4 linked regions of the Rhinolophus ferrumequinum genome follow. The protein of the gene in region 2 purifies or fractionates together with the protein of the main gene of each other region. This does not show direct contact. Links are inferred from orthologs where the notes say so. Each region holds a gene or a part of one and is shown on either strand. Other genes may lie near its edges. The genes, in order: WAPL, PDS5A, CDCA5 and SMC1A.

The links.
Region 1: the proteins of PDS5A (region 2) and WAPL purify together in Homo sapiens (affinity purification with mass spectrometry; 6 studies listed by BioGRID and IntAct, with this or other methods). This does not show direct contact. The link is inferred for Rhinolophus ferrumequinum from reciprocal best matches to the Homo sapiens genes PDS5A and WAPL.
Region 3: the proteins of PDS5A (region 2) and CDCA5 purify together in Homo sapiens (affinity purification with mass spectrometry; 4 studies listed by BioGRID and IntAct, with this or other methods). This does not show direct contact. The link is inferred for Rhinolophus ferrumequinum from reciprocal best matches to the Homo sapiens genes PDS5A and CDCA5.
Region 4: the proteins of PDS5A (region 2) and SMC1A purify together in Homo sapiens (co-immunoprecipitation; 8 studies listed by BioGRID and IntAct, with this or other methods). This does not show direct contact. The link is inferred for Rhinolophus ferrumequinum from reciprocal best matches to the Homo sapiens genes PDS5A and SMC1A.

The regions. Positions count from the first base shown.
Region 1 is NC_046299.1:61,528,867-61,536,158, reverse strand, and holds the start of WAPL (wings apart-like protein homolog), read left to right. Parts: upstream 1-4,278; 5' UTR 4,279-4,719; intron 4,720-7,292. UniProt on the Homo sapiens protein: Regulator of sister chromatid cohesion in mitosis which negatively regulates cohesin association with chromatin. Involved in both sister chromatid cohesion during interphase and sister-chromatid resolution during early stages of mitosis.
Region 2 is NC_046288.1:14,335,884-14,343,365, reverse strand, and holds the start of PDS5A (sister chromatid cohesion protein PDS5 homolog A), read right to left. Parts: upstream 3,010-7,482; 5' UTR 2,869-3,009; intron 2,778-2,868; exon of another isoform or gene 2,647-2,777; intron 2,001-2,646; 5' UTR 1,961-2,000; coding exon 1,820-1,960; intron 1-1,819. UniProt on the Homo sapiens protein: Probable regulator of sister chromatid cohesion in mitosis which may stabilize cohesin complex association with chromatin. May couple sister chromatid cohesion during mitosis to DNA replication.
Region 3 is NC_046294.1:6,518,990-6,525,812, forward strand, and holds the start of CDCA5 (sororin), read left to right. Parts: upstream 1-3,823; 5' UTR 3,824-3,989; coding exon 3,990-4,035; intron 4,036-4,269; coding exon 4,270-4,361; intron 4,362-4,439; coding exon 4,440-4,505; intron 4,506-4,584; coding exon 4,585-4,620; intron 4,621-6,823. Other genes in the region: ZFPL1 (zinc finger protein-like 1), read right to left, coding at 1-170, 681-804, 1,042-1,188, 1,262-1,334, 1,431-1,624, 2,757-2,868, 3,174-3,275. UniProt on the Homo sapiens protein: Regulator of sister chromatid cohesion in mitosis stabilizing cohesin complex association with chromatin. May antagonize the action of WAPL which stimulates cohesin dissociation from chromatin.
Region 4 is NC_046284.1:82,385,104-82,392,910, forward strand, and holds the start of SMC1A (structural maintenance of chromosomes protein 1A), read left to right. Parts: upstream 1-4,805; 5' UTR 4,806-4,886; coding exon 4,887-4,995; intron 4,996-7,807. UniProt on the Homo sapiens protein: Involved in chromosome cohesion during cell cycle and in DNA repair. Central component of cohesin complex. The cohesin complex is required for the cohesion of sister chromatids after DNA replication.

The sequences.
Region 1 (7,292 bases), on a different chromosome or scaffold from region 2:
CTGTCCTCATAGTGTTTATATTAGAGTGGAAGAAAACAAATGATAAGCAATATGTAAAACACACAGATGACAACTATAGAGAAAGATGACAGGGAAAAGAGCTACGAAGGCTGGGATGGCGAGGTAAGGAGCTGAGCTTTAGTAGCACGGTCAGGGTAGGCACTGCTGAGGAGACACTAGAGTGAAGACCTGAGAGGTGAGGGAGCGAGTCATGTGCATACTCACATCTCCAGGACTAGTGGAGGGAGCATCACCTACAAAGGCCCTGAGGCAGGAGCTGGTTGGGCACGTTCTAGCAGTAGACAGAAGCAGGCTTGGCATTGTGGGAAGGGATCGGAGCAGGCAGGGGCCAGATCATGCAGGACCTTGTAGGCCACAATAGGGATTCTGGATTTTAGTTTTGGTGATGGGAAGCTGCAGGAGGGTTATTGTTTTGGGGGGGAAAAGGGTGAAAAACCTGGGGTGAAGAGGGCTGTTTCAAGAGAAGAGTCAGGTAGCCAGACCTTTAGAGGTTGCTGGGTACCAATCCTCGTCAGGCAACATGTCCCCAGGGAATTTCTCTAGCTTTGTCTTTGAATTACCCAGACAGCAGTTTATTTCCCAAAGGGTATCACCATCTCTGGAGAACATATTCCAATTATCCTGGAAAACAAGGTAATTGGGATTATAGTAGTATTCATTTTCTCAATGCTCAAGATAAAAACTGATCCAAAGCAAAAACAAAAGGTAACTCCAGAAAGCACGCCCCTCTCCATTGGGAGGACCATCAACAATTTATGGAGCCACAGGTTATATGAAACTATTGTTAAGTTTCAAGGCACTGATAAATGCCCTGATAATTTTTTTCCTCCACATAAATGCCCTGGAGAAAAATAAAGTAGGAATAAGGAGCATTTGGGAGTGGGGTATTACTATTTAAAATAGGCTGGTCAGGGGGAGTTTAATTGAATAGTCACATCTGCCCAGTCTGCGCAGAGTTGGGGAGTGTCAGAGAGGAAGGGCCAGGGCCTGGCCCACATCTTGTAGGGTGTTCTAACACAACCACTACAGGGTCCAGTGTATGATTTGTAACTTTATTCCACAACCTATGACAAGGAAAACTTTTCTGTGGCCAATGTGGTAATTTCTGACTTTTAGTTCTCTGAACTGAATTTTATAAGTTGTACTATGTTTTACTACACATTATCAGTAAAAGACTAAACAGCTCTAATTAGTAATTCCAGTCTGACAGTTTCCATGGGTGTGCTAGAACAAAGTCACAGTAATGGCAATAACATATTTCTATTAGTTTTCTTTGCAGGATTTTCTTTTTTCGGCTAAAGCAAAGCATGAGTCCACCTAAGTGGAACTCAGGGTCATGGGAATCTTCCCTCCTGTAGGCAGCATACAGGAGGACAGCCTAGTGTCAGAGGGTACAAGCTTGGCTCAGATCCAGGATTTCAGTTTCCGGTATGATATTTAAAGGGGAAAAATATCAGACATCTGAGAGCTTGCATAGAGGCATTCTAGCAAAGAAAACACCCACTGGATACCTGGTGTGTGTGTGTATGTGAAGCTGATTCGAATGAAGTGAACCAATCTAGGTGGCAGAGTATAAATTGAGAGAACTAAGAAAACGAGCAATAAAATAAAAATAAAGCAAAAAGCTATTTGCCTATGTGTTATCCATCTGGAGTCCAGTTCGCTCACTCTGGTGTGGAACTCAGGGCCATGGCAAGGGAATGGGGTGGGCCCTTTGGGGCCTTTGCTTGGCCACACTGGAACCGAAGATGTAAAGGGTAAAGATGATGGTACAGCCTGCAGGCCCAGGGTCTGGACTTCCTCCAGGAGGGCCTCTAGAGTAGGCAGGCCGTTTTGGGTGTGGGGCACAGGAGGGTGGGAGCCCTACCACAGCTCTGCTCAGTATTCACATACTAAGCTTCCATATACTTTAATACACAATGTTTTACTTTTTAAAGCATGTACCATTTTTCTCCCAGATTCAAGAATACCTACAATAATGGAAATCTAATGTTTAATAAAAAGTTTGATTCCCTCATTAGTTGAGTGAATGCCGCCCTCTCCATTTCCTCACCTGTAAAATATGAACAACAGGCAAGGATGCAAATGAAGGGCCCGATGCACAGTAGGTGCTTACGGCTCTCCTTTTCCCCTCATCCAAATGAAAACTATCAGGTTGCTGGCAAATGCTACATATACTTCAGATCGGTGCTTGTCAACCTTTAAAGTGTGGACTAATCACCTGGGGGAATCCTCTGAGAGCGCAGATTCTGATTCTGTGGAGTTGGGGTGGGGTAGGGGTGCCACATTCCCAACAAGCTCCCAGGTCAAGCCTATGCTGCTGACTGGCAAGAATCTAACACTACTAAATTCCATTACTTTATACAACTACCCAACAAAAAGGGGCTCCACAGATTGTCTATTTCTTTAAAGAAAAAAGTCTTCCACTTTGGCTTAGTGCAGTCACTGTCCCAGCCCCGTGCCCAGCACTAGCCAAGCCAGGGCACAGTGAATCCATCCTTTGGTCTTGGAGGGTTCACAGCACTCTGCTACAGGAAGATCTTGAAATTGTCTCTCCACCACTTTTGGCTTTTTGATCTTAGCTTTTGCCTCTGATGATAATTATTCCTTAATTAGCACCCACCACTGTGTCATTTAAATAATTATAGTAAGAGCAGCTTGCACCTCTGCCGGCAATCTTCAAACAGATAAAACAAGATCCTATGCTGATTTAAAAAAAAAGACAAAACTGACCCAAATAAAACAGTTATGTGCACACCACCTCCAGTGGAATACACAGGTCTGTTATAACTTCCATTCATATCAGCTACTTAAGAGTTGATTTATTTTGAATCAAAGAAAGTTCCGATAGAGTATTTGGGAAATTGTAAATGTCAGAATATTAATTTTGCAAGCAGTGGCGCTAAAGTAAAACAATTCAACCACACTAAGATCCGCCTTGAATTCCTATTGGGAAGGGCTGCAGGATGTCTGAACTATTTTTTCTTTATTCAGAGTTTTTGGAGGAGCTTGGTAACTTCTGGGTGCCATCAAAGCAAATAATCCATTGCTTTTCACTGAAAGCAATCAGTAGTTTTCTAATTTCCCCGGTTGGATCTCCATTAACCGCCCACCAAACAGGGCCATCGGAGCCCGATGAGTCATGCACCTCTTTACCGAGATGCCGATCGCGCTCCTCTTTACAACGCCGTTTTCCCACTGCAGCCTTAAAAAAGCAAAATAAAATTAACCCCCCCCAAACTTTCTCCTTTTTTGAAAAGGTAATACACTGACCCGAAAAAACCTTAAATGGCACAAAAAAGTGTACAGCGAAAAATGAAAACTCCTCCCATTGTCTCCCACCTCCCTGTCCTCCGCAGAGGCAATCACTGGTTCATTTCTTCAAACTTTTTATTATGGAAAATTTCAGATATACAAGTAACAGAGACTGAAATAATGCGCCCATGTGTACGCATCCCGCTGGCTTGTTTGATTCTTCCTCCTTTAGTTTTTATAGGAGTTAAAGTAAATTCCAGACATCACATTATTTTGTAAAAACTTTAGAACATCTTTTTTTTTTTTAAACATAACCACATTGCCGTTATCACACCCAACAAGGTTAACGATAATTCCTCAATACCATCTATATCTTCGTTCACTTTTAACGGGTGCGGGGCAGACGGAGGGAGAACTACGAAGGTTAAGGACGGATGAGTTGGAGGGGGCGCATTAAAGAGCCGCGGCCCACATCTCTCCTGGCTGCGGCAGTCAGGTATCCAGCGCCCTGGGCCTCCCCGTTCCCGCTGTCGTTACCTGCGCCGAGCCAGCACCGGCCAGGCCGGGTCGAGGGCGGCTTCGAGCCGCGAGCTCCCCGCTCCCGGGAGGCGGTTCCAACAGGCCCGGCGCAGCTGCACAACCCACCGTCCCCAGACACCGGCGGTTCCCTGGAGGGGAAACGATTGACACAGCTGCCTGCACTGCGCCCCCGACCCTCCCCCGCGACACCTGCGTCTCCCAGCGGGGTCAGGAGCTGGCTCCCGAGCCCGGGGAAGCCAAGGCCTCGGGACCCGCTGCGCCCGTCTCCCGCTCCCGCTCGGGACTCTCAGCACCGGCGACCTCGCGGACCGGGACTACAACTCCCGTCGGGCCCCGCGGCCGGGCCAATGGCGGGCGCCGGAGCATGCGGGGCGCGGCGCCTGCGCGGCGGTTTGAGTAAACGGCCGTGTGATTGGCTGCGGGGTCGGGCGGCCGCGCGGGGCCTGTGGGAAGCGGAGTGACGGAGCGAGCGGCTGTTGGAGGAAGGAGGTGGGGGCCGGGAGCGCAAATGGCGTTGAGATGGTTCAGGGCCCTCTTCAAACTCCAGCGCTGACCATTCACCGGCGGAAGCGGCGGCGCAGGAGACGGCGGCGGCCCAGCGGGGGCACGTAGCGGACTCCACTACCGGCTCCGGTGGCCAGGGAGGCCTAGGCCCAGGCCCGGCTGGCGGCGCTCAAGGCGGGGAGGGAAGTTGCGGTGCTGCCGCTCCTCCCCCCGCTTCCACTGGGTTCCTATTTACCGCGATCGGAGTCGCGGGTTCTGACCGTGGCGGTGCCCCTTGCGTCTCTTTGCGCACCAGCCGGCTCTGTCCTCCTGCGCGGGACTCCGGCACCCGCCCGTGGGCCTTTGGGGGCGGGAGAGGCGGAGGCGGCCCGAGGCCAAAGCACCCGCCAGGCGCCGAGGGTAAGTGAGGTCTCGGGCGGCTGCCTAGGCCCGGAGCGAGCCAGTGAGAGTGGGGGAGGCAGGGGTCTGGCAGGGGGTGATGGAAGAAGTCTCGCTATCTCACCTACCCGGCCTCTAAGGAAGTTGGGCAGCGGAACGACCTGAAGAACTCTTTTTTTTCCCCCTCTCTTTTATTTGTCCTTTTTTTGAGTTCTTTTTGGGAGGCTGCTGATTTACTTTCCTCCCCAAGCGCGGTCGAGTGTGTTCGTTTCAGCCCCAAATCCTTCGCCGTCTTTTCCTCGGCCCCTGGCCGTCTCCGAGGCCTTACACTGCCCTGGGGATTCGGTGGCAGAGGCTTCCGGGGCGTCGGAAGCAACATCCCTTTCCTGGGCGGTGGGGGCGGGGAGGAGAAAAGTTGCGTGAGCTTCCAGCCATAGGGGGGCCGCTTCTCCCGCTACCCCTTGGCGCACCGACCGCCCGCAGGTGAGGATTTCTGGGTGGTTAATTTTGCCTATTCCGGCTTTCATTCCTAAGCCCTTGGGGAGCCGAAAGACTCGAGATTTGGACGGGGGTTAAAGTGTGAGGACTTTTTATCCCATTGCACTTTCCCTGAAAATTCGACCTGGGCTAACGAAAAGGCCCAGCGATCGCAAAGACTTAATGTTAAATCATTCTTCCCTTCATAGTTAGTATGATAGTCTTTGGAAGGGGAAGCCTGAGCTAGCCTTATGTACTTGAAATATTCTTATAATGTCAAGTATGTCCACACACTTAGTTTTGAATTTTTACGTACTTGACACTAACTCTAGGCTTAGATAATGCCATCACAATAATCTGTCTAGTGACTTTAAAAAAAAGGCATTATAGAAAACTAAAGGAAATCAAAAGCAAGGGGATGTTATGTAATGAACTCCATGTATGTACTCATCTTAGATTGAACAGTTATTAACTCTTCACTAAATTTTTCTCGTTTCCATGCTTTACATTCCACACTCCTTGAAGTTAGAGAATCGTTGGCATTATTTCATCAGTATTTCAGCATATATTTGTAAAAGATATGAACTCTTAAAAAACAACCATGATTTTGTTATCATTTAAAATAATTAACTTCGTAATACCAAATATTCACCTGCAGACTTCCAACTTGGGACAGTGAATGCTTTGTGGTTCTAGGACTGTTTTGCAATGAGTTTTTCTGATGTGGGCCTAACGGAGTTGAAGTCTAGATTTTTGGTTTGGCATTTAGTCAGCATTTTTAGGTCATTACGGTGTAAGTGTGTCCAAATCGTCCCACCTTTGTTGGTGTATGTAAACGTAGATCAGTAGATCAGGACTTTACATTCTTAGAGAAATGAAACGAAATCACTTTATTCTGTAGCTTTGTTTTGTTTGTTATACTTAAGAAAGACAATAAGATTCTTAGTGTAAATCTACAGTAGAAGGGGAAATAAATCTCCCTTAGGAAAATGTTTTGTGACATGTTAAATGGTCTTCAAACAAACTACATACTCTTAATGCACATGTGTATGATGACTAAATTATTTTGTCAAATTAGCATTGGCTTCTAACCAAATACGAAAGGGGAAAATTTTCTACTGAATATACATAAAACTAAATTTATAGTGATTCACTATAGATTGCAAGAATTTAAGTTAATAAAGGGAAAACATTTATAAATCAAAACATATTCAAATGTGTAAGTCAATTACTACTCCAGTTGTATTGTAAATTTCAAAGTATGAAGATTTTTTTCAAGCCCCTAGGCAATTGTTTTTCTAGTTACTTTTAATATATTGATATTTAAACTTTAGAAGGTCAAAGTGTAAGAAATGGATACGAATTGATAGTGTTTAAAAAGTGCTGTAATTAGTTTTTAAAAATGTTTGACTTTTGATTTTTGTCCTGAAAATTTTTTTTGTCCTAGAATTTTTATTAATATGTAGATAAAGCAGATGAATCTTTTATGAATGGAGAGGAAAATAAAGTTAAATGTTTCTGTTGCTTATTTTAGTAATCCATGTACCACTGTAATATGCTGGGGTTCAACAGCTCCAGAAAATGTAATTTCAGCAAATGAGCACAGTATTATAGGGACAAAGAAGGTAAATTAAATGGTTTCTTGTGCTAGGGAGATGACCAACTAAGGAATATTTTTCAAATCACACTTCAAATTACATTAGACCAAGAATCAGAATCTTTAAGTTTGGGTTAAAAGCTGCAGGTTAAATGCATGAGGAAATAGCACAGTTTTCCCAAGCCCTTATTAATAAGTACTCTGAAATTTCAAAGAATTAAATTTTGACAATTTGATATTTCTGAGATCCTGCAAAATGTGAAATTTTGTGCTTAAGATTTTTACATTAGGGATTGATTACCCTATTAACATTATTTTTAAACATAAAAGTGATGTTTATGAGAATAGTAAATAGTTTCATTTGAAACATTTAAAAACTTGATGTTCCAGTATAAGTTGGTTTTGTATATGCTGTATTGAGTTGGTTAGTCTTATTTTGTAAGCAGCATATGAATATATGCTCATTGTTTAAAAAGTGACATGGAAGTATTTAGAGTAAAAAATGAGCCCCTCTCTGTAT
Region 2 (7,482 bases):
AGGGAGAAAGGCAAAATCTTAAGAATTCTTGAGAATAGCAAAATTTTAACAGCAGGACATTTAAATTGGTTAATATATATGACAATGTCAACTTACAAAAGAACTCATACCAAATGGATATTCTAACCCAATGCTCATTCTAGACTTGGTTCTATGTCCATTTATGGTTGACAGCATTTCTGATATTTAATCTACTTTCAAGTGGAAAATGTATATATAGTTGCAACTTTTTTTAAACCAGCTTATCCATCACTAGAATTCAAGGTTTCAATATCTTTAATATGATAACAATAAAAAAGATCCATAAATTTTTTTCTTAACAGTTTTTAATTTCATAATTTTTCAGCATCTCAAAACACTCAATATAACCTTAAGAAGCATCAATTAAGCACCTCACTTCATGTAAAATCTTTGGTATCAAGATTTCAATGAAAAGTTTTGTCCTATTCCTTCCAAAGAGGCAATAAATAAATAGATCTTAAACTACAAGAATATTTTAAATATTCACAAGCACTCACGACACTGTAAACATTTACTAGGCACACTATACTAAGCTCTAAGAGCAAAGGGGCAACATCATTCCCTAAAACTACATTTTCACCAAGTTGCTCAAGGTAGAAACACTGTCAACATTGTTTCTTCCCTCACCTCCCACCAAGTCTGATTCTAACTCTGAATTGTCTCTTAGATCATCCTCTATCACTTTACTCCCACAATCATTGACCTACCTCAAGATTTCAGCATCTTTCCCCTAGACTATTATTAACAGTTCCTAGCTGGACTCGCTGCTTCCAGCCTTTCCCTTCTCCAACCTAGCCCCAACTGTGACAGCGAAATGTCTTCAGCACTGGGAAATATCCTTTGGGGGTCAAAGATGCCCCGGTTGAGGAGCACTGTATCAAGTTAATCCCTTACTAAGAATGCATTTCTTTCTTTTTTTTTTAAACTTTTATTTTAAGTGTGTTTTTCCAGGACCCATCAGCTCCAAGTCAAGTAGTTGTTTCAATCCAGTTGTGGAGGGCACAGCTCACAGTGGCCCTTGTGGATATCCAACCTGCAACCTTGTTAAAAGCACGTGCTCTAACCAACTGAGCTAACTGGCTGCACCCAAGAATGCATTTATTTTTTTTTTAAGGCTGTGGCCACAAAAAATTGACCAACATAATGCTGAAATTTACAACCTTGACCTAATAAACTAAATAAGCTGACTCCTTATAAAAAGAGCCATCATACTCTCTTTTAAAACCCTTTGGAACATATGGACCTAAAACATCATCTTACTTTAAGCCTGAATTTTGAAGTCAGTACCTTCTATCAAAGTCTAACCATACTTAGACACATTTAAGTTTCTGGATATTAGAAAATTGTGACAATTTAAAGACTACCTTTTGGGCTTAAATCAAGTCTCCTCAGATGATGAAAACAGGACTTCCTAGGCAAATTATTACCTACATTTAAGGTTGCAAGCTACTTTGAACATAAATATTTTCATAAATATTTCTACAAAAAAACTTTAAAAGTTGAATTCTTGAAAAACAGTAAGATTAAAACACACACACACACACACACACACACACACACACCCTTCTAATTTCCCATAATGATTATGTCCCCACAGAACTTATTATTCAAAGATACAGCCGAGACAGAATACTTTTCAGAGAGGGTAAAAGAGAAGGCGATAAAATATCTAAAAAAAAAAAAAAGGCCTGGTAGGATTAAATTCTAAAGGCCAGGCCTCGCAGTGGAGTAATACCACAGGAGACAGCACCTCTTACCACACCCGTCTGAAGTGTGGACATTCTGTCCAGACGCTTACCTTCAGTCGTTTGATCATTTCGTCGGTGGTGATCTTGTCGGTGATCTCCTTTACCCCCGGAGGGTAAGCAATCTTCCCGTCTGCACTCACGACGCCACAGAGGGCAGTTGCAGGCTTGGGCTGCGCGGTGGAGAAGTCCATCCTGGGGGACAACTTTTCTTTCACAGTCCTCTACCGGCCTCTATCGGTCAGAAAACAAAAGTTCAGCGGGAAAGGGGCGACTTTGTAACCTCTTTTTTCATTTCAAAAAATCTCTAATCTGCAAAGGGCCTTTTCTCCCGGAAGGCCGGGGATTCGGCGGCGGCCCCGCCACCCGCTCCTTCCCGGGGTATGGACCCTAGCGGCTTCCCCTACACACGCGGGCCCGGCTAGTCCCGGGCCCACGGGGCTTTCTGGCACCAGGCGCTGCGGCCGCGGGAAGCGCAGAGCAGCGCCAGGAGTTTCCCATTCCGCCTTTCACAATGAAATCCACCCCCAAGCACCGAGGTCCGAAGTTTGGAGGCCTGGGGAGTCCGGCGAGACCCACAAGCCCCCCGCTCCGTCAGAGAGAAGCCCCGAGTCTCCGCCGGGCCGGTCCCCTCAGGGAAAAGAGACACGAGGCCTATAGTGCTCGGCTTAGGCCGCAAAACTAGCGATCAGACCGGACCCACACGCACCGGCGGCTCCCGAGAACGAACGCCCTTGCCGGGCCGAGCTTCGGGACCCCGGGCGTCCCCGCCACGCTCCCGCCCCTCCCCTGTCCCGCTCCCCCACCCCTACGGGAGGGGAAAACAAGCCACCCTCCACCCTAAACCCCACGCCAGGAAGCGGCTGACGCGGCTCCGCACTTCACATTTTGTTCCTTCAACTTCGGCTAAGGGACCCCAGCGGCTTCTCTCGCCCCCGGCGACTCGGTGCCGTCCCGCGCCGCCGAGGCCTTACCGGCACCTCCGGGCAGCCCTGCCGAGCTTCGGTCCCGCGCCCCCCCCCCCCGCCTCCGATCTCCCCTTCCGTCCCCTCCCTCCACCAGCCGAGGGCGGGAGCCGAGCTGCCGCCGCCACCGCCTTTACCTCCTCCTCCTCATGCGGACAGAAGGTGCATCGAACGCCCGGGCCTCTGTCAGGTGGTTGCGCCGCCGCCCCTCGTCGGGCTGCACACAAAGCGGCTCCGCCGGTCCCGCCGCCGCCGCCGCCGCCCGCCCCGGAGCGGCGCTGGGGCTGGCGGTGCCGAGGAGGAGCAGCCGCCGCGGGGGGAGACGCGGGGCTAGTGTGTGCTGGGCGGGGAGACACTGCCGCTCTCCGTCTGGCTGAGGAAGAGCAGCCTCGGCGGAGGCTCCTCCGGGAGCGTGTGCGCTCGAGTCCCCCCGGGTCCCCGCGGCCCGCCTCCTCGCACCTCGCGCCGGCCGGGTCCGCCGACCCGGACCCGGACGCCCCTAGCAGCGGCGCGCGCCCCGCCGTCCGTGCCCCAGGGAGCCGACGCCTCGCGTACCCACCGGCCGGTCACGCGAGCGGTGCGAGAGCACGCGAGAGCAGGGCGCGCGCCTCGCTCCCGCCCCTTCCTCCGCCGGCCGTGCCTCCGCCTCCCTCGGGCCCGAGGCTGCCGCGCGTGGGGCAGACAGCGCCGCCACCCGGTTGGCGCCAAGACCTGCCGCGCCGAGCGCTACGGGGAGGACGAGACCCAAAAGGCGAGCAGAGGCGGCGGGAAGCGAACCCGGTCCCGGAGGCCCTGTGAGGGTACTCAGGATACTGTACCTTAAGCCGCGGAAATGAGTTCATGACTTTTGGGAGTTATCCTGAAGGACGTGGACGGAACTGGTTGAAAGATGGTTAATTACTCGGTGAAAATGGACTGATTTCCTCCCTAGGGACAGAAGATCTGCAGACGGAGGAAAAGTTTTGCGACATGGCACAACGTGGGCCGCTTATTCTTGTTCTTTCTGACAGCCACCGGAGTTAGCCCTTTCCTCTTTAGATTTCTAGAATGAATATTTTGAAAGCTGCAAAATACAAAAATAGCAGAGTCGAGTGGTTCTCAAAGAATGGTCTGAAAAGTAAGTTCCTGGGCTCCATCCACTCCCAAACCGTGGGACCCAGAAATAAGAATGTTTACAAATTAGCTAGATGGTTCGTGTGAATATGGAAGAACTCATTTTAAAAAGAAGTATTTTAGATATACCGAAGAATAACTTTTTCCTTCATCTAGAGGAAAACCCAATGTAGTGGGTTTGAGCAGTTTAATGTAAAAAGTTGAACAAGTGAACCTCAGAAGCACATTGGTGCTTCAGAAGACGAACTTAAAAAAAACAACAACCCACAATAGTATGAAATAGCATTCAGCTCTTGAAACTGACTACTATCACAAGTTTAAAATGATATGCGATTATTCATTTAAATTATTCTTGATGGGTATCCCTTGGTCTTTTCCACATCCTTTCCTTAATCTTAAAAATATTAGAGGTACTGCACTCATGAATTGTTTTTCAGGTATTACACAAGGGAGATTCCAATCGCTTGGAATCTAACGTGCCACAGTTGCTGATTTACTAGAACTCTGCCTGAAAGTCTGTGCTTTGTTCTTGGGCAGTTAGAGTAGCAGGCAGAATCCATTCAAGAGTGGCTCTTTAGGCTCTCCCTCTCGCAGTGTTTTTTTATCTGTCACATTTAAATACCTAAAGAGTGATTGATGCTTTTCATTTTCATTCTTTCTCTAAGTAATTTTACCCATTATTAAATGGAATTTTGTATATGCCCATAAATTTTAATTTTATTTATTATTTTGTTAATATTGTTTGACTTTATGAACTCAAAAGATAGTAAGCCCTAGGGATTACAACACATAAACTTATATATTCTATAATTCAGGAATTCTAAAATTCCTGTTTTTACTTCCTTTCTTAAACATTTCTTTCCACTTACAGTAAATGAGATACAATCATTTGTGCATCAATTATTTTAAGAGGACCAACAATTATTTTAAGGCATTGTTTTGGTCACCGAGAAAAAAAATTGGTAGTGGGGAAGGGGACAAAATTCCTGCCTGCCTTGTTGGAGCTTAATTTGGGGGGGAGAGAAAAACAAACAAACAAACAAACAAATAAATAAATTGTTATAGAGGAAAATAGAGAAGAAGGGTGATGCAGATCCAATATAGCCTTTTGGACCTTTGTCCTTTGGTTTGTACTCTGACTGAAATGGGGAATTATTGGAGTGTTTTAAACAGAGAAGTGACGTGGTATGATTTATGTTCTATGAACGAGCAACCTTGCACAAATTACTTCATTTTTCTATGTAAAACAGGGATACTCATTTTCATCTGTAAAACAGGGATAATAGTTTTTTATTTCAGAGGGTCATTATGAGGAATAAATAAGTGAACATTTGTAAATTGCTTAGAATAGTAACTGGCACATACTGAGCTCTACTAATTTATATATATATATATATATATATATATATATATATATATATATATATATATATATATATATAATGAAAGAATCACTCTAGCTGCTGGGTTGAAAATAATGTAGAAATGCAAGTGTAGAAGTAAGGTAACTAAGCATAGACAACTGCAAAAATCCCAAGGAGAGATAGTAATAAGAACAAGGTAATAACTAACAGTGGAGGTGATGAAAACGATTTAAGAAAAAGAGTAGAGTCAAGAAATTAAAGAGGACTCCAGAGTTTTAGACCTTAGTAACTAGGATAAAGTAACTATTAATATAACATTAACTAAGGGGAGCACTTCGAGTATGCTTGGAGCAGATTTAGGGTCAGGATGTCTTTTAGACATCTAAGCTATTTAAAAGTCAATTTAAACGGTTACTGAACTGCTGCAGTGGGTAAATGCATTGTACTATGGTAGGCACGGGGGAAATATTTAAAAAGCAAAGAAGACAAAGTCCCTGCCATTAACAGGATCAGAATCTATTAGAGGAATCAGAGACACAATGAACGATAATTCGAGGCAAGGCTGTGATATATTCTATAATAGAGCTTTGAACTACATGGTCTATGAGCCTAGGAAAGGAGTGCTATGGTAGCTTTCCAAAGAGGAGCATTTGAAGCTGGGCCTTGAATGGTGAGTAATCGTGGTGAGCATTTGAGGAGCATTTGAGGCTGGGCCTTGAATGGTGAGTAATCGTGGTGAGTAGTTGTGAGAGGGCAATAGCTAATAGAGATAAGCACAAGGTGGAAAATGGCACAAGGAAAAGAATAAAACACAAAGGGGCGGGGATGGAGGTAATTAAGTGTAATTTTCGGGCAGGGTAGGGTGGTATAGTTAGAACAAATTGAAGAAAAGAGTAGCTTCGTGAGTCTTATTCTACCCCACATAATTTCAGTCAGCACCCCTCCCAATATACACAAATACAAGCATACAGTCTACATACAAAATGACATCTAATGCACCTTTAGGATAAATCCTTATACCCCTATATCAACCATACTACTAACCACAAATTCTGTAGAGAAATTCTAGATCCAAACTCTAAGGCAGTTCTGTCCAATAGAAATTTCTGCAACAGTAGAAATGTTCCATACCTGCATTGTTCAATACAGTAGCCGCTAGCCACATTTTAATTAATTTAATTTTGAAATCTAAACAGCCACATCTGGCTAGTGACTACTGTATTGGACAATGCAGTTCTAGAGTATAGTTTGTAGGAGTGATTGAGAGAAGTTGAGGGTAGAAGACAAACTGTGTTCATACTGAATGCTGTAGCTATTTAGCACAGCGATATTTTAAAAGGATGAATTGGAGTAATACAAAACTAAAGTCATTTATAGTGAAAGTGAACTAAGACAAAAATATAACCAAATTATAAAATTGCAAAAATATTTAAAGCAGTTTTTAAAAATGTGTTTATTCTATTTATCTGAAATTACTTGATTTTCAATTTGAAATGTAATTTGCTAAATCTATCCCGAATAATTTTACAAATTATAAATATGAATCATCCATGTATCTCCGTCACAGATAAATTTTAACAATATGTCATAATCACTATGAAACTAAAAAAATGGTACTTTATTTTAGTGTCTTTTCAGATACCACCGACAGCTTAGATTTGTTAAATATATTTAGGCATAGGATAATAGCATATCTATCTGTAGTGAATGAAATGAGTTTGACATGTTTCACAGCTGTCTGAATCATTTTGGTCTAGTATGACCAAGACGTTAGGATTAACTTGTTTGTCATAGTAATTTAAAGATTTTATTTGAATTTTGTCTAATATCTTAGTCTCCATGAACATCTTCAATTTAAAGTGTGAAGTGTGACCCACCTCATTAGCTGTATTAGCTTTCTTTGAGTTGTTTCATCAAAATTGAGTATTATTTAACAAGCAGGGACCGCAAACCACAACGCAATATTTTCAAATATGAAAGAAACTACAGGTACAAGCAACATGGGTAAACCTTAGTGACATAATGTGATAACCTGTTTACAAAATCCAAAAGCAAGACTCCGGGCAGTGATTACCCCTGGAGTACAGGGGAAGCAGGCAACATAGGGGAACAAGATGAGAGAATAAGTGCAAAGGTAGATACATTCTTATTAAATCTTTATTGTTAGGCAGAGTGGTGGTTCACATGTGTTCTTTGTATTAATTATATTAATGAACATATGAATGAATGAATGAATGAATGAATGAGGGCAATCCACGGACCAATGAGGGATGT
Region 3 (6,823 bases), on a different chromosome or scaffold from region 2:
GGATGTGAGGGTTCATGAGTGGGTCCAGGTTGGGGTCACTGTCAGCTGCAGCCCGGCCCAGGCGAGACATGAGGACAAGGAGGGCCAAGAAGCCCAGCAGCCCCAGCAGCAGCAGCAGCCCCGCCCGCTGGAGCAGGGTCAGAGGCCGCTTACGAGACCCGGCCCGGCTCCTGGGGGGACGAGGGGAAAGTCAGATCAGGCCCCCAATCCCTGGGGGCCCCGCGGCCTGGCGAGGAGCCCTCATCACGATACTCGTCTTCTGGCCCCAGCACCACCATCAAGCCTCATTTCCTCAAGTGAGCCATGGGGACGAACATCCCTGGCCCTGGCCACTACAAGGGTGACCGTGCCGCTCAAACCAACTGAGGCACCGACTGTTCTGGAAACCGGAAGGTGTCAGACATGGGGACAGTTACAAAGATCGGGTGGTGGCAAAGCAGGAAGGGGCCTCAAAGAGCCCGAGTTGAAACCTCGTATGTAGCAGCTGAGGAACAGCCCTGGAGACGGCAGACCCAAGAGTTCTATTGCCAAGCAGAGACCTTTCTATTCAGCCCCAACACCGGGGCCCGATATTACCCAGGGACAAGCCTCTTTTGTCATGAAATTGTCGTGCCCGGGGACCGGCTCTCACTTCCCTTCCTCCCCCTTCCTGGCATCCTGCCCCACCTGACCCTGTGTACCTGAGCAGCTGGGCCAGCCAGCCCAGTGCAGGACGGCGACGGTACTTGTCATCGTCGTAATCCCCGTGGAGGCCTGGTGTCCGGTCATCGTCCCGCGTGTCATACACCTTCCTCGGGGCCGAGGCTGCAGGGGCAGAGCCATTAGCATACACCGGCTCGGGGAAACTGGCCCACAGCAGGGGGAGTGGGGACGGCAGGAGATCCTTGCCTTTCTCGGCCTGACAGTAAATCTCAGAATCGTAGAGCGGTAACGTCTGCGCTTAGAGTGAGGAAGGGTCCCTCCAGATGGGTCTCTGGACCCGAGCTCCCTTCACCCCACCCCTTTTCTATCCTCCTCTGGCCTAGACAATCCCCTGCTCACCATGAGTCATGGGCTCGGACCCGCTCATGTGGATCACCGTGTGTTGCTCAGGCCGGCTTGGGGAAGCAGGGGGCCGAGGGGCTTGGTTGTAGTAGGCTGGGGCAGCAGAAGCACTGGCTCTCTCTTCTTGTTCAGCGGTACCATTGGCTGTGGCACGAAGAGAGCCGTCAGCAGGGCAGGGAGGCAAGGGCCCCAACAGCAGGCGGAGACTGCCACTCACCATTAAAGCTGGACCAGTCAGAGAAGTCGGAGGTGTTGAGGGGCTCAGGCTCCGGGCTCACCACCTCATCAATCTGAAGGAAGGAACCTGTGTCACCAGCCTGCCCAGTGCTCTCCCCACCCACCCATCTGGCCCAGGTGGAACCCTAGACAGACAGAGGGACTCTCACCAGAGGAAGGCCCAATCCTGCCCGGGCCCAGTTGACGGTGGCCAGCTTCTCTCTCAGCGCGGAGGCCACGGGGCCAGCCAGGTTAGTTGGGGGGAAGATGGGGCCACTGCAGCTGGGGCACTGGTAGCCAGCAGGCGCTGTATTTTGGGGCAGCTGGGCAGCACGTTCATTGAGGCAGGCCCAGTGGAAGAGATCTTAGGGCCCATGAAATAGCAGAGGAGGGGCATGAGGAAGAAGACACTTTGTACCCCTAGCCCAGCAACAGCCCCTAGCCCACTGCAGGAACATATGCACACACACATAGAAGCCCAGGGCCACCTCCTTCCCATACTCGCCCCAGGTCCATTTCGTCAGTGTGCCCTCGGCCCTATTGGCTACCACCATCTGACTGAATCAAAGCAGATGCTACACAGCCTACCAGGAAGTGGGGATGGGTGGAAAGATGATGCCGTAAGCTCCTTGATTAGCTAACAGTTAATCAAGAACAATTTCAGAAGAGCTTCCTAGACATACACACAGGCACATATATGCCTCTACACCTCCATGGGCACACATACCTGTGCTTATATACACATAACCAAACAAGTGCCATCCCTGCATCTATCTTACAGGCACACTAACTCTCACACATACACATCTACACACTCACTTGTGTGCTAACACTCAAGCACCCTCACCCACACACTCTTCTGCAACCCCACGACACACCTGTATTCTTATGTTCACACGCAACATTTACCCATTCACTCACCCACAAGTACTAATGAACTCACTAACACTTATGTAAAGACACAAAGCACATTAAATTCATGCACGTATAGCCATGCACTCACACTAAGAAACACCTACGTGGAGCTCACTCTTTTGCACTAGCTTCTCCAAAAAAGGGAGCTAAAGCTCGTACACAACGTCAAGGTCATGACACATGTCTGCCGACTGCTTTTAGCTGACTCTACTATGGGAAACTCGCTTCCTTTCTGTTTAATCCTGGAATCAGTAATGGATCCTGAATGTCTGAAAGGCCCATGCCAGTCTGGCCAGCTCACAGCCTCAACCACGCCCACAAGTTTGACTGCCTCTTGCTCAACCCTTGAGATTGGAGGGAAGAAACTAGGAACTTTCATTTTTAAGGAGACATTGAGGCCTAGAAAGGAAAAATGACTTGCCTGAGCTTACAGAGCAGGTTAAGTAACCCAGCAGGATTAGAATCTGGGGCTCCAGCCTTCATGGCTTAGAGGGGTCTCACTGTCCTGCTACTTAGGGAGGGCTAGGAAACTAGTCACCAGGCTGGGCCTATCCTGATCCCCCCAGGTGCCCAGGCCTCACCATAGCAGACAAGGCGGGTCGTCTCCCGAGTGGCCAGGGGTATGTTGCACAGGCGGCAATTGGGGTTGTAGTCGCTATCTTGGAGCCACTGCAGGTAAGACTGTACGATGCACTGGAGTGGGAGAGAGAGGTCACAACTGGAGCTGGGCTCCACAGCCCAGTTCCCTAAGGCCCAACTGCCTCTTTATCTCTCATCACAGAGGAGACTTATCCTTTCGTTTGTTCAATCAATAAACATTTATTGAGCACATACTGTGTGCCACACTGTCTTAAGAGGATATAGGAGTGAACAAAATAAACCAAGTCCTTGCCCTCGTGGAGCTTCCATTCTAGCGCCAGGACCTTCATGGATTTGGAGGATGCCAATACCACTTGCCCTCCCAGTGCCCTGCTCAGCCGCTCCCCTGAAGGCCCCACCTTGGCGTGATTGGCTACCAGGCAGTGCTCGCAGACGTTGACCCGGTGTTCGAAGCAGAACAAGTTGGTCACCTTCCTCTTGGGGCACTTGCAAAGCCCCATGGTCGACCCTGGAGAAGAGTTGGTAGGGAGCTAGGTTCTGGTGGCCGCTACGCACTCACCAGCCCAGTTCGTTTCCATTTTTAACTCCCCTAGACACTCTCACGTTCGCCGGAGCCCCAACTTCCTGCCCACCGCCCCTCTTCATTCCGGACCACGCTCCCGGCATAAACCCCGCCTCCGAAGACCACTCTTTCCTCCTGGATCCCGCCCCCGGCCAGGCCCCTCCATCAGCGTCTCTCCGATACCACCGGCCCCGCCTCCAGGGGCCCCTCCTGAGTCCCACCCCTCGAAGCCCCGCCCCCACTTTCTCCACAGACCCCCTCTCCGTGTTACTGATCCACTCGGGCACGGGTCCCGACAGACGCGCGCTGGTCCAACACACGGAAGGACAGACACCGCGCTCCGCGGACCTCCAGCTCAGCTCTTTCCAGTTCGGGCCGCTCCTATTATGCCCCGGCTGCCACGTCTCTTCCGGGTGCGGCGCGCGCCGATGACGCCAGCGCGCCCCTGGCCCCACCCCGGCTGACGGTACACTTGAGACCGGTGAGGAAGAGGCGACCCAAGTACCGCGGCCCTCCCGCCTTACGCAATTTCCGCTTCCTCCTGGGTAGGGCGGGTAATCCGAACGTTTTTGCTTCAGAAAGGCCCTCGGGTTGGCGCGAGCCCGGGAGGCGGCGGCGGCGGCGGCGGCGGCAATCCAAACGAAGGCTAGACATGTCGGAGAGGCGAACGCGGTCTGGAGGGGCCTCTCAGCGCTCTGGTGAGGGGAGGGCGCGCGGGAGAGACGGGGCCGAGCTGTTTGAGGGTTGCAGTCCCATGACGAAGGCCCTCCCCGTACCGCCCTACGATGGATGACCCACGGCCCACCTTCCGCCCCGAGAAGGCTCCCCCAAAGTGCCTCTTGGGGGACCTTTTCTCACTGTCTCCAGAACCTGTGTTCCAGACCTTGAGGTCCAGAGCCCTCCCCTACCTCCTAACTTTTTTCTCTTTCCAGGACCAAACACCCCATCTTATCAGTCTCTGCGGAGGTCCCAGCGGAAATCAGGCTCCGATCTCCCCAGCACCCTCCCTAACATCTGGCCGAAGGTGAGCCCGGGGTTCCTCAGTTCCTACCCTAGAGGTCTCTGGACTCACGTAGAGCTCATGGTCACCCCTCTTCTCCAGGCACCCCCGGTGGCTCCAGTCAAAAAGCCCATCGTCTTGAAGAAGATCGTGGCCCATAGTGTAAAGGTGAGGACTGAGAGAGAGCTTGTGGGTGGGAACCACAATTAGGGGCCGGCTCTGTGATCAATAAGTGTTGTCTCCACAGGTCCCATCCATCCGCTCGCCTCGAAGGAGCCCTAGGGTGAGTTCATTTTCATTTGTTTTGTTAAGTAGAATCCAGGACATTCTGGAGCTGGGACAGACTGTAGAGGCTGGGACAGACTATAGTGGCCCACATTGTTTGCTCAGGAAGCTGTTTCGCAGTATTTTGAAACAGTTTGCCCTTGGACACCTGCAGGCATTGCCAACCTTGCTTACTCCTTATAGACTTAATATGTTTAGCTCTTGATGGTATGTTCAAGAGATGGTACGTTCTACCATTTTCCTTTAAACGTTAACTGTGTCCTAACTTTCTTTCTGCTCCATCTTGTCTGCAGTTTTTTTTTTTTTTTTTTAACTTTATTTATTTAAGTGTTTTTCCAGGACCCATCAGCTCCAAGTCAAGTAGTTTCAATCTAGTTGTGGAGGGTGCAGCTCACAGTGGCGCATGTGGGAATTGAACTGGCAACCTTGTTAAGAGCGCCGCGCTCTAACTGAGCCAAACGACCGCCCTTTGTCCTCAGTTTTTATTTACGGTTGTTGTAATATGAGTTATGTGTATGATGGCTTTGCAGTTTTAGCAGAAGTCAAGATGTTTCATTAAAATCTGTGCCTGAGGATATAATGAATGAGAAATGCCAACTGTTTTTGAGGAGCTCATGGGGCTTACAGTCGAGTGGGAAGAAAGACAAATGAACAGGTGATAACATAGTATGCTGAGGACTGCAATACAGAAAGAACTAGATGGTATGAAGGCACCTAACCCAGACCAGGTGGCTCAGGGAACATTTCATAGAAGAAGAAATATTTAAAATGAGTCTTTAATCTTTATAGACAAGTAGGAGTGTCTGTAAAGGAAGCTGTATTTGCAGAGATCTGGATTCCACACACACATTGAAAAAACAAGGTTTGGGGAGCAACAGCTTCCTTTCTTGGTATGTCTGCAGCAGACCTTGATAGAGGAGGGCGCGTGCTAAGCCAGAACAGAATAGATCCTGATGAGGCATGAAAGCTGTGTTTGAGACCTTGGGTTTCATCCTTGGCACTGCGGGCAGCTTTTGGAGAGTCTTAAGCAAGGTAGTGACTGAGTTAAACTTTGGTGTTTGAGAAAGCTCCCTCTTGGGGGTGGGGGTGGGGGGAGCTGGGTGGAGAATCGGCTGGAAAAAGACTGCCAGGGGTTCCAAGACCAAGTAGGAAGACTTGACAGGAATCCTGAAGTGACATGATGGGGGCCTAAAGTAAGGTGATGGCAAAGTGATGCTCCTCCCCCTGGCTCACCACATGACTGTCCTATCACACAGGACTCAGCTCAGTGGAGACCTCCTCCCGGAAGCCTTCCCTGACCACCCCTATCCAGTCACTGTCACATTTCTTAATGTAATTCTTAGGACTTATCAATGGCTCGGGGTAATTTGTTGTCTTTCTCTCCCCAGTAGGTGCCTTGAGGGCAGAGACTGCCACCTCCCCCATGGTAGTCACTCATTCTTGTTGGTTGACTAATAAATTCATGAGACAGTAAACAGAAAAGGCTGCGACGACTTGGGTGACTGCTTGGCCATAGGGAATAAGGAAGTAGTAGTCGGGTAACCGCCATGTTCAGCATCCCTTTGACGAGACGCATGGGGCATATTCTCCAGAGCTTGCAGTCGTGTCTCTTTTTGATAACCAATGGACTTCCTTCTAGCTGACTGTAAGAGTCATTGAATTTGTCTCATTTTCCTCTTGTCTGGGCTGCCAGACAGCTCAGTGCCAAGTTTCGTGTACATTAATTGGGTTTTGTGTACATTAACTTACTGAACACCTCTGCACGTGAGGCTGTGCTGAAGACGGGGGCACAGGCAGGGTCAGCCAGACAGATAACGACCCCTGCTCTCATGAAGCCCATATTCTATTGGGGGGATGACAGTCAACCAATGGACAAGCCCAAACCAGAAAGTGATGGTTGCTGTACAGGAGAGCGTTGTTGTGACAGAGAGCGACGAGCAGAGGTGAGGAGGGTCTGATCTAAACTCCACGGTAAGGGACAGCCTCCCTAAGGAAGCAGCCTCTGAGCTGAGTGGAATTATAGGGGACAGTATGTGAACCTCCTAATCCGCACGCTCTGTTCACAACCTTGCCAGGGCTCCCTGGGTCTCCCCTGACAGTGGCCTAGAAAAGGCCCTAGGATGCCCCCAATGACCTCTCATGCCCCGTCTTTAGTGCCTCTCCTTAACTTCCACTCGATTCAGGCACACGGGCCTGCTTGT
Region 4 (7,807 bases), on a different chromosome or scaffold from region 2:
CCAAAGCCACAGCCAAAAACACTTTTGCAAACATAAATCTGATCATATTTCTCACCGGCTTAAAACCCTCTCTACTGGCTTCCCACGCCCTTAGAATCAGATCCAAACTCCTGACTGTGGGCTTTCAAGATCTGGTCCCTGCACACGTCTGGAATTGATCTCATGTGGCCGGCTTCCTCGCTGACAGTGCTCCAGGCACACTGACCTCCATCACGTCCTCCAATGAAACAACTGTTCCCACCTCCGCCTTTATACACTGCCATTCTTTTGTTTGCAACACCATTCCTCAACTCTTCTTCTAGCTAGTTGCAATCTTTTTTGAAAAACCATTTTGTAACTATGAAATATTAGAATATACAAGGTGTGATCAAACAATATGGTGAATGTTTAAATTAAAAATTTATTACAGTGAAAGACACGTTGCCATTAATCCCCCTCAAAATACTCCTCCTCGCTTCGAACACACTTATCCCCTCGTTCTTGCCACTTTCTGAAGCAGTTCTGGAAGTCTCCTTTCATGTCTTTACTTCATCCTCCATCATGACAATGCTCCATGTCACACATCACTTCTGGTATATGGCAATTTCTGTCAAAAACATTACAGTGTGTCCTCTTCCACCTTACTCACCGTATCTGGCACTGTGCGACTTCTGGCTCTTCCCCAAAGTCAAAATGACCATGAAAGGAAAACGTTTTGAATCGATTCAGGACATTGAGGCAGTCACGACAGCTCAACTAAAGACACTCAATGAAAGAGGACTTCCAGAACTGCTTCAGAAAGTGGCAAGAATGATGGGATAAGTGTGTTCGAAGCGAGGGGGAGTATTTTGAGGGGGATTAAGGGCAATGTGTCTTTTACTGTAACACATTTTTTCAAATTTAAACATTCACTATATTGTTTGATCATACCTCGTATTTGTGGAGTTCTTACTGTCAGACACTCCTTGAAGCACTGGGAGACACCAAGCAGCATAAGTGATAAAAATCTGAGTCTTTGTGGATGTTACTTTCTAGTGGGGGCAGATATACAATAAAGAGTACATTAAATAGTTTGTAAGATGATAAATGCTATGGGAAAAATATAGAACAGGATAAGGGGAACTGGAAGTGCCAAGGAAATGGGGGTGCAATTTTAAATATTGAAGTCAGTGGAGGCATAACTGAGAAGGTAATATTTAAGCGAATATTTAAAGAAGGTGAGGGAGTCACCTATGCAGATATCTAGGAGGAGAGTACTCCAAGCAAAGGGAACAGAAAGTGCTAAGGCCTGATGGTGGACATGAGGGGCACACATTCAGCATGTGGCAAGCGTGTGAGTGGAGGAGAGGTAGGTAGGAAATGACATTAGAGAGATGACAGAGGGGACAGAGAATGTAGGACTTTGCAGACCACTGTAAGGGCTGTGGCTTTTACTCTGAGAGAAATGGGCGGCCATTGGAGGGTTTTGAGCAGCGGGAAGGACGTGTTCTGCCTTTGATTTCTGAAGGATCACTCTAGCTGCTGTGTGAAGAATAGACTGGAGGTACGGGAGGCAGGGCTAGACGCAGGGAGACCAGACAGGAGGCTGTCACAGTTGTCCAGACAGGAGATGATAGAGACACACCAGGTTGGTAACAGCAGAGGTGGTGAGAAGTGGTTAGATTCTGAAGGCAGAGCCGACAGGACTTCCTGATGGGTTGCATGTATGGTGTGAGAGCAGTATCAAGAATAACTTCAAGGATTTGGGCCTCAGCAATCCGAGGGATGCACTTATTATCAACTGAACAGTCTGTGTGGGCAGATGGGATGTATGGGATGGGGGGAGGGTCAGGAGATCAGTTTTGGACTGCTGAGTTTGAGAGTCTAATAGATGTCCATCAATCACATACAAACGGTATGATACATTTTATTATTGTTCAAAAAGATTTGCTGCTCCTGTCTACAGGAACATTCTACGTCCTTATCTCATTGCCCTCGAGGTTAGCCATGACGTTTGCTTTGCCCTGTCCAGTGTGAGAATTGACACGTGCCATTCCTAAGCAGAACTACGGGCTGTTAGGTGAGAGCCACTTTTTGTCTTTACTCTCTGCTATGAGACTGGTGATGTCCCAGGTAAGGGCTGCTCCTTCAGCTTAGGTCCTGGGATGATGACACAGCAGAGATGCAGCCAGCCCACAATGGACAAGGGGGAGCGAGCAATACATTTTTGTTTTTATAAGCTGCAGAGATTTGGGGGTTGTTTATCACCTTCGCATCATTTAACCAATCCTGACTGATACAAAGGAATTTAAAGCTCTAAGGCTATAAGAGATCTCTAAGGGAGCGCATGTAAATGGGTAACAGTGTCCCAGGGGGAGATGACGAGAGGAGGACCTAGCACTGGAGGCTCAGGAGAACTGGCCAGGGAGGTGGGAGAATAACCAGGAGAGTCAGAGAAGCCAAGTGAAGAAAGTGCTTTTGGGAGGAGACAGTGAGCAACTGATGACAGGTTAAGAGGAGGACTGAGAAGTGATTTACTAACATGAGGATTGCTGATGACCTTGACCAGAACATTCTTGGGGGGGGGTTATGGGGCCAAAAGCCTGACTGAAGTGGGTTCAACAGAGACTAGGACTCTGTGGCACAAACTCAGTGTATTTTTTTGTAATTGCAAGAGAAAAAGAGAGAGGAGGAACCTGTAGATTAAAAGAGACATATATACAGGTGGGAAGGTTTCTCTAGCCTACACCTAGGAGTGTAAGTGCTGGATCATAACACTTAAAGCGTATTTAACTTTACAAGATAATGTTAACTTGTTTTCCAAGGACACTGTACCAGTTTACACCTTGACGATAGTGTATAAAAACTTGTTACTTCACATCTTCACCAACACTTCGTATTGCAGACTTTTTGATTTTTGCCAATGTGTGGGTGTAAAATTATAATAACCAATTTTAATTGGAATTTTCCATATCACTAATGAGGTTGCATATCTTTTCATGTGTGTTTTGGCCATTTTTGTTTACTCTTCTGTGAAGTGCCCATTCATATCTTTTGTTCTTTTTTTAAAAAATCAGGTTGTTTTTCTTATTAATCTTAGGAGTTCCTTATGCATTCTACACACTAACCATTTCTTAGTTTATATGTGGCAAACGTTTCCAATTTGTGTCTGGTCTTTTCACTTTATTATTATTTGATAATAGTTTTTATTATTTAAGAATCCCTTGAGGTCATATAGTCTCCTGTATATTCTTCTAAAATTCTAAAGTTTACCTTTCTCATTTAAGTTTTTAATCCATTTGGAATTGCATTTTGTGTATGGTATGAGAGGCAGTGATTCAATTTGATTCTTCCCCCCAAGCTCCAGCTCATCTTTTAAAATGAAACAATAGTTCACGTCAGATTGCTGTCCTTTGGCCATTTTACTCCTCAGCTTGACCATGACTGTTCCTCCCAGTTGAACTTCATTTATGGCTCTTCTCTACTAGAGTCTATCAACCAAACTTGCTCACTTTCCTGGACTTGTCCTACAACTTTAAGACTCTTTTCAGCCTCTGGACATCATTTAAACAATAGTTACAGGAATGGCTATGGCAACCACCAGACCCTTTCCATGTCTAAGTCTAAGCACCAACTCCAGCCTACTCATTCCATTTGTCACCACAATATAAGGTCACTGAAGGGGAAGACTCAGCAGACATTTTAAACTTCTTGGACTGCTAAGGCCATGGCCATGGTAATGAGCAGGTATAAGGTGATACGGCGATGAGGCGACGAAGGGGAGGGATAAAAAAGATTGGGAACAGAGAGAGGAAAGGGACAGAGAGAGCAGAGTGAGGGGGCAGAGAAGGAAAGAAGGAGAGCAACAGGGCGGTTGGTGGGTGTGGAGGACAGAGGGCAGAGAGAGAAGAGGAAGGGGAAAGCAAGGGATGGGGCAGAGGGGGATGGAGAGGAGGGAATGGCATGGAGGTGAGGCACGAAGAGAGAGATAGATAAAGGGGGGAGAAGAGAAGAAGGATAAAGGTGGAGAACACTGGGTTAGGGACCTTGACTCCTAAGGGTTCACACAAAATACCTTTCTTATCAAGGCGTCCCAATTTTGAAGCTCCTAGGTGGGGTCTAGGTTCAAATAGCCAACAAGTGGCTCAGGTCCAAGTCTGTTCTTGGGCTACAGCGTCAGTCTCTGAACTCTGCTTGGAAGAAAAGGAGGGAGGCAGGGGACAGGGGTAGCACCTCTGGCCACGGCTTTCCCCAGCCCTATCCCTGTGGCTCGAGTACCCTCGTAGCTCTTAACACCCCATCCCCCTTCACACTCCATCCCACCTCTAACTCCACCCCACTCCGCCTCCAACCCCGAGCCATAGTAGGATCTGAGCCCATCTAACACCGAATCCTCCCGCTGGCCCCTCCTTCCTGTACAGCCTCCGGCTCCCCGCTCCCCGGGGTCCTTCCAGTACCCCACTCTATTCTTGTCTGAGCCTTCTGGCCCGCCAGGCTAAAGCCGAACTCCCACCTTCCTCTCGCCCTGCAGGGCATAACCCTGTAGTGACTTCAGACTTGTGTTAGCAAGAGTGAACTCTGTCTGCTTTTTCAGATCCTGAAAGCTGTTCAGTCTCCCGCACCGCTGCCTCTGCAATTCTCTCAGTAGTGGCGGCGCTCTGCGTTGCCAAGCAACAAGAAAGGGAGGCGGGGCCAAACGCTCGTCGTAGGCTCGCTCCTTGGCAACGGATCAACAAACCTGCGCGTCAGCCCGAAGGCCCCGCCCCTAGCTCCCGCCCACGGGAAGCTGGGAATCCCGTTCGACCTGCACTTATTCTCGCGACGTTTGGGGTCCGCCCGGCCTGCATTGCGGTGTTTCCCGCGCAGGCTACCTCGGTTCCTCGGCGCACGGCGCGGCCATTCGTACCGCCGCCGGCGCCGTAGCCGTCATGGGCTTCCTGAAATTGATTGAGATCGAGAACTTTAAGTCGTACAAGGGTCGACAGATTATCGGACCATTTCAGAGGTTCACCGCCATCATTGGACCCAATGGCTCTGGTAAGATAAACCCGGCTGCGGCCATGGGCACGTCCCGGACCCCCTATCCAGCAGCAGAGTAGTACAGCCCAGCCCGTGCCACTTGAAATGTCGGGAACCCTAACAGGTTCCTTGCCGCTCCTCAGGGGGTTCGGCCCAAACCTGCTTTCCCGGTTCAGGAGCTCTGACTTGAACCTTTTCCCCAGGTGTCAGTTGGCCGCTCTTCGCGCGGCCCCCGCTCCGGCCCCAGTGGTACGCCCCGGATTCTATATTCCCCCGCCCTCTGCCCCCTCCCGCCAAAAGTGGCGGTCCCGAGCCCGCTGCCAGCTAGCTGGATTCCCCGCCTTGTAAGAACCCTCCGGAAGATGTGGGACTGCTGGTAGCCCTCCCGTGACCTCCGGTCTCAAACGGTACACTTACCCGTCCCGCTTCGCATTGGTACGCTCCAATTCCTCCTCCTCTTTTTTTTTTTTAAACTCTTTTTCGGAGGCGGCACTTTTGAATTTGAGACCCAGCGCTCGCGTCTCGACCCTCCACCCCGTCCCCATTTTAGAGGTGGGGATGCCTCGAACTCGCCCCTTTGCTACCACTGAAACCGTTAAAACTCGGAACTTATTCGCTCACCAAATTTGTTGAATGCTTACTGTTTTATAAGGAATTTATTCAAGGTGCTGTGGAAATAGCGGAAAATAGAATAAGCCTTGCTCCCAGGGAATTTACATTCCAGATGGGAAAGACAATAATAAAGGAGAAAATAGAATAATTTTCGGTTGTGATAACTGCTGTGCAGGAAATAACACAGGTTGATGTGATAGAGTGACGTGGATGGTGTCTTTGGAAAGAGTGGTCCGTAGTTAACAGTACTGTGTTATATATTTGAGAGTTGCTAAGAGAGTAGATTTTAAAAGTTTTCATCACAAGGAAAAAATGTTAACTATGTGAGGTGATGGATGTTAACTAATTGCGGTGATCATTTTGCAATTTATATAAATGTGGAATCATAATGGTATACACCTGAAACTAATATGTCATGTCAGTTCTGTTTCAGTGAAACTGGGAAAAAAAGAAAGGGTGGTTAGATAAGGCCTCTGTTACATATCTGAACTTCCCATCTCTAAACGATACACCATGGATTCCTCCCATCTACCCCCACGAGTGTTTGTTTGGAATCCTGCTGTGCTTCACCCCAGAGTTGTTCTAGCTAAATCATTTCCTAGCCTGAGGGGAGCTGCCCTTGCTGAAGTAGCTCTAACTGACAGCCTTGCCTGGAGTCTTGCCCCGGTTTGGCTCGGTTGAGCAGGGTTTCTCAACCCCGGCCTTACTGACATTTCCAGCGAGATAATTCTTTGTTAAGGGGTCGGTCCTGTGTATTGTAGGATGTTTAGCGGCATCCTCGGCTACTACCCACTACTGACAGTACTACCCCTACCCCCCAGGTGTTACAACCAAAAATGTCTCCAGACATTTTACCAAATGTCCCCTGAAGGGGGCGGGAAATCATCCCCTCCCAACCTTGTTTGAGAACCACTGGCCTGGAGGGCTAATACTTGGGGTCCCACTCCAGTTTCTTAGTATTTTGGTGTGGGGGAAAGAGCCAGGATGCACCTCTTGGCATTAGTCCCCTCATTGTATAGCCCCCTCAGCTGCTCCAAAAGGCTCTTGGTCTGACTGTCCTCCTCGCCCCCCCACGCCCCCCATTCTTCAGTGCCCACCTCCACAAGGCATTCCTTGATTCCTCTCAGGCACACAGTAGACACTTGATACACTTGAACATTTGGTTTCTCCTGTCTCGTATTCATGGCATGTTTTTGTATCTTCATCACTGGTCTGTGCTATGAATGCCCCAAAGAAGACATTCCTTAAAACTGTATCACTGTTCATTCAGCTCATAATACATGTTATTAAAAATGTTTACAATATTGAGTGATTGTGAGTAGGGAGGCCTTGGGTTGTGAGATATTCTTACTGTTCCTGGAGAGCATGGGACAAGCCCAAAGGTTGGAAATGGGTGCCTAAAAGGCTGACTCCGGGTCTGCATGATGTGCTAGTCCTGCTGTGATGAGGGAGACAGCTGAGTCTAGAACTGTTGTTAGGATAGGGCTACTGTTTTTTTGAGCACCTACTGTATGTCAAGTACTTTATTTATTGGGACCTTTTACATTTAAATTCTCACAATAACCCTAGAAGGGAGATCCCGTTATCCTTGTTTTATACTTGAGGAGACTGAGGCACAGAGTTGTGATGACTTGCATACTGGTTCTCAGAGCCAGAATCGGAACCCATGTCTGTTACACTTGCAAGCTTTTGCTCTTGCCACTCTAACAGACAACTATGTGCCAAGCATCGTTTTAGATGCTTCACCTATGAGTCATGCTTTTTCACATTTTTCAGGTGAGGGAATAGAAGGTTAGCTAAGGAGTAGTGAAACTAAGGTTATACAACCTGGTCTATTGGACTAGACCCCGAGCTCTTAATCTGTCTTGTGCTGCCTCCATGGAAGGACCTGGGCTACCGTTTTTATAGCTGAGTAGATCGGTGTTGGAAATCAGATCCAAAGTTCACTGTCATATAACATAGTTGGGGAGAATCTTGAGATAGAATTTATAGAGATTAAACTATTCCCCACCTCCAGTCCCAGTCCAGATTTTTTAAAATGTTTTTTTCCTGAGTCTAAAACGAAGAAAGTAAAAACTGTCACTCTTAATGTTAACAATTTTATGTATTTGAATAGCTAATCAATGCATATGGTATAAAATTCAAAAAAATACCAAAGGCTATAATACAGTTAAAAGAAGACTCCATTTCTTCCCTGGTTTGTTACCTACTATTACAC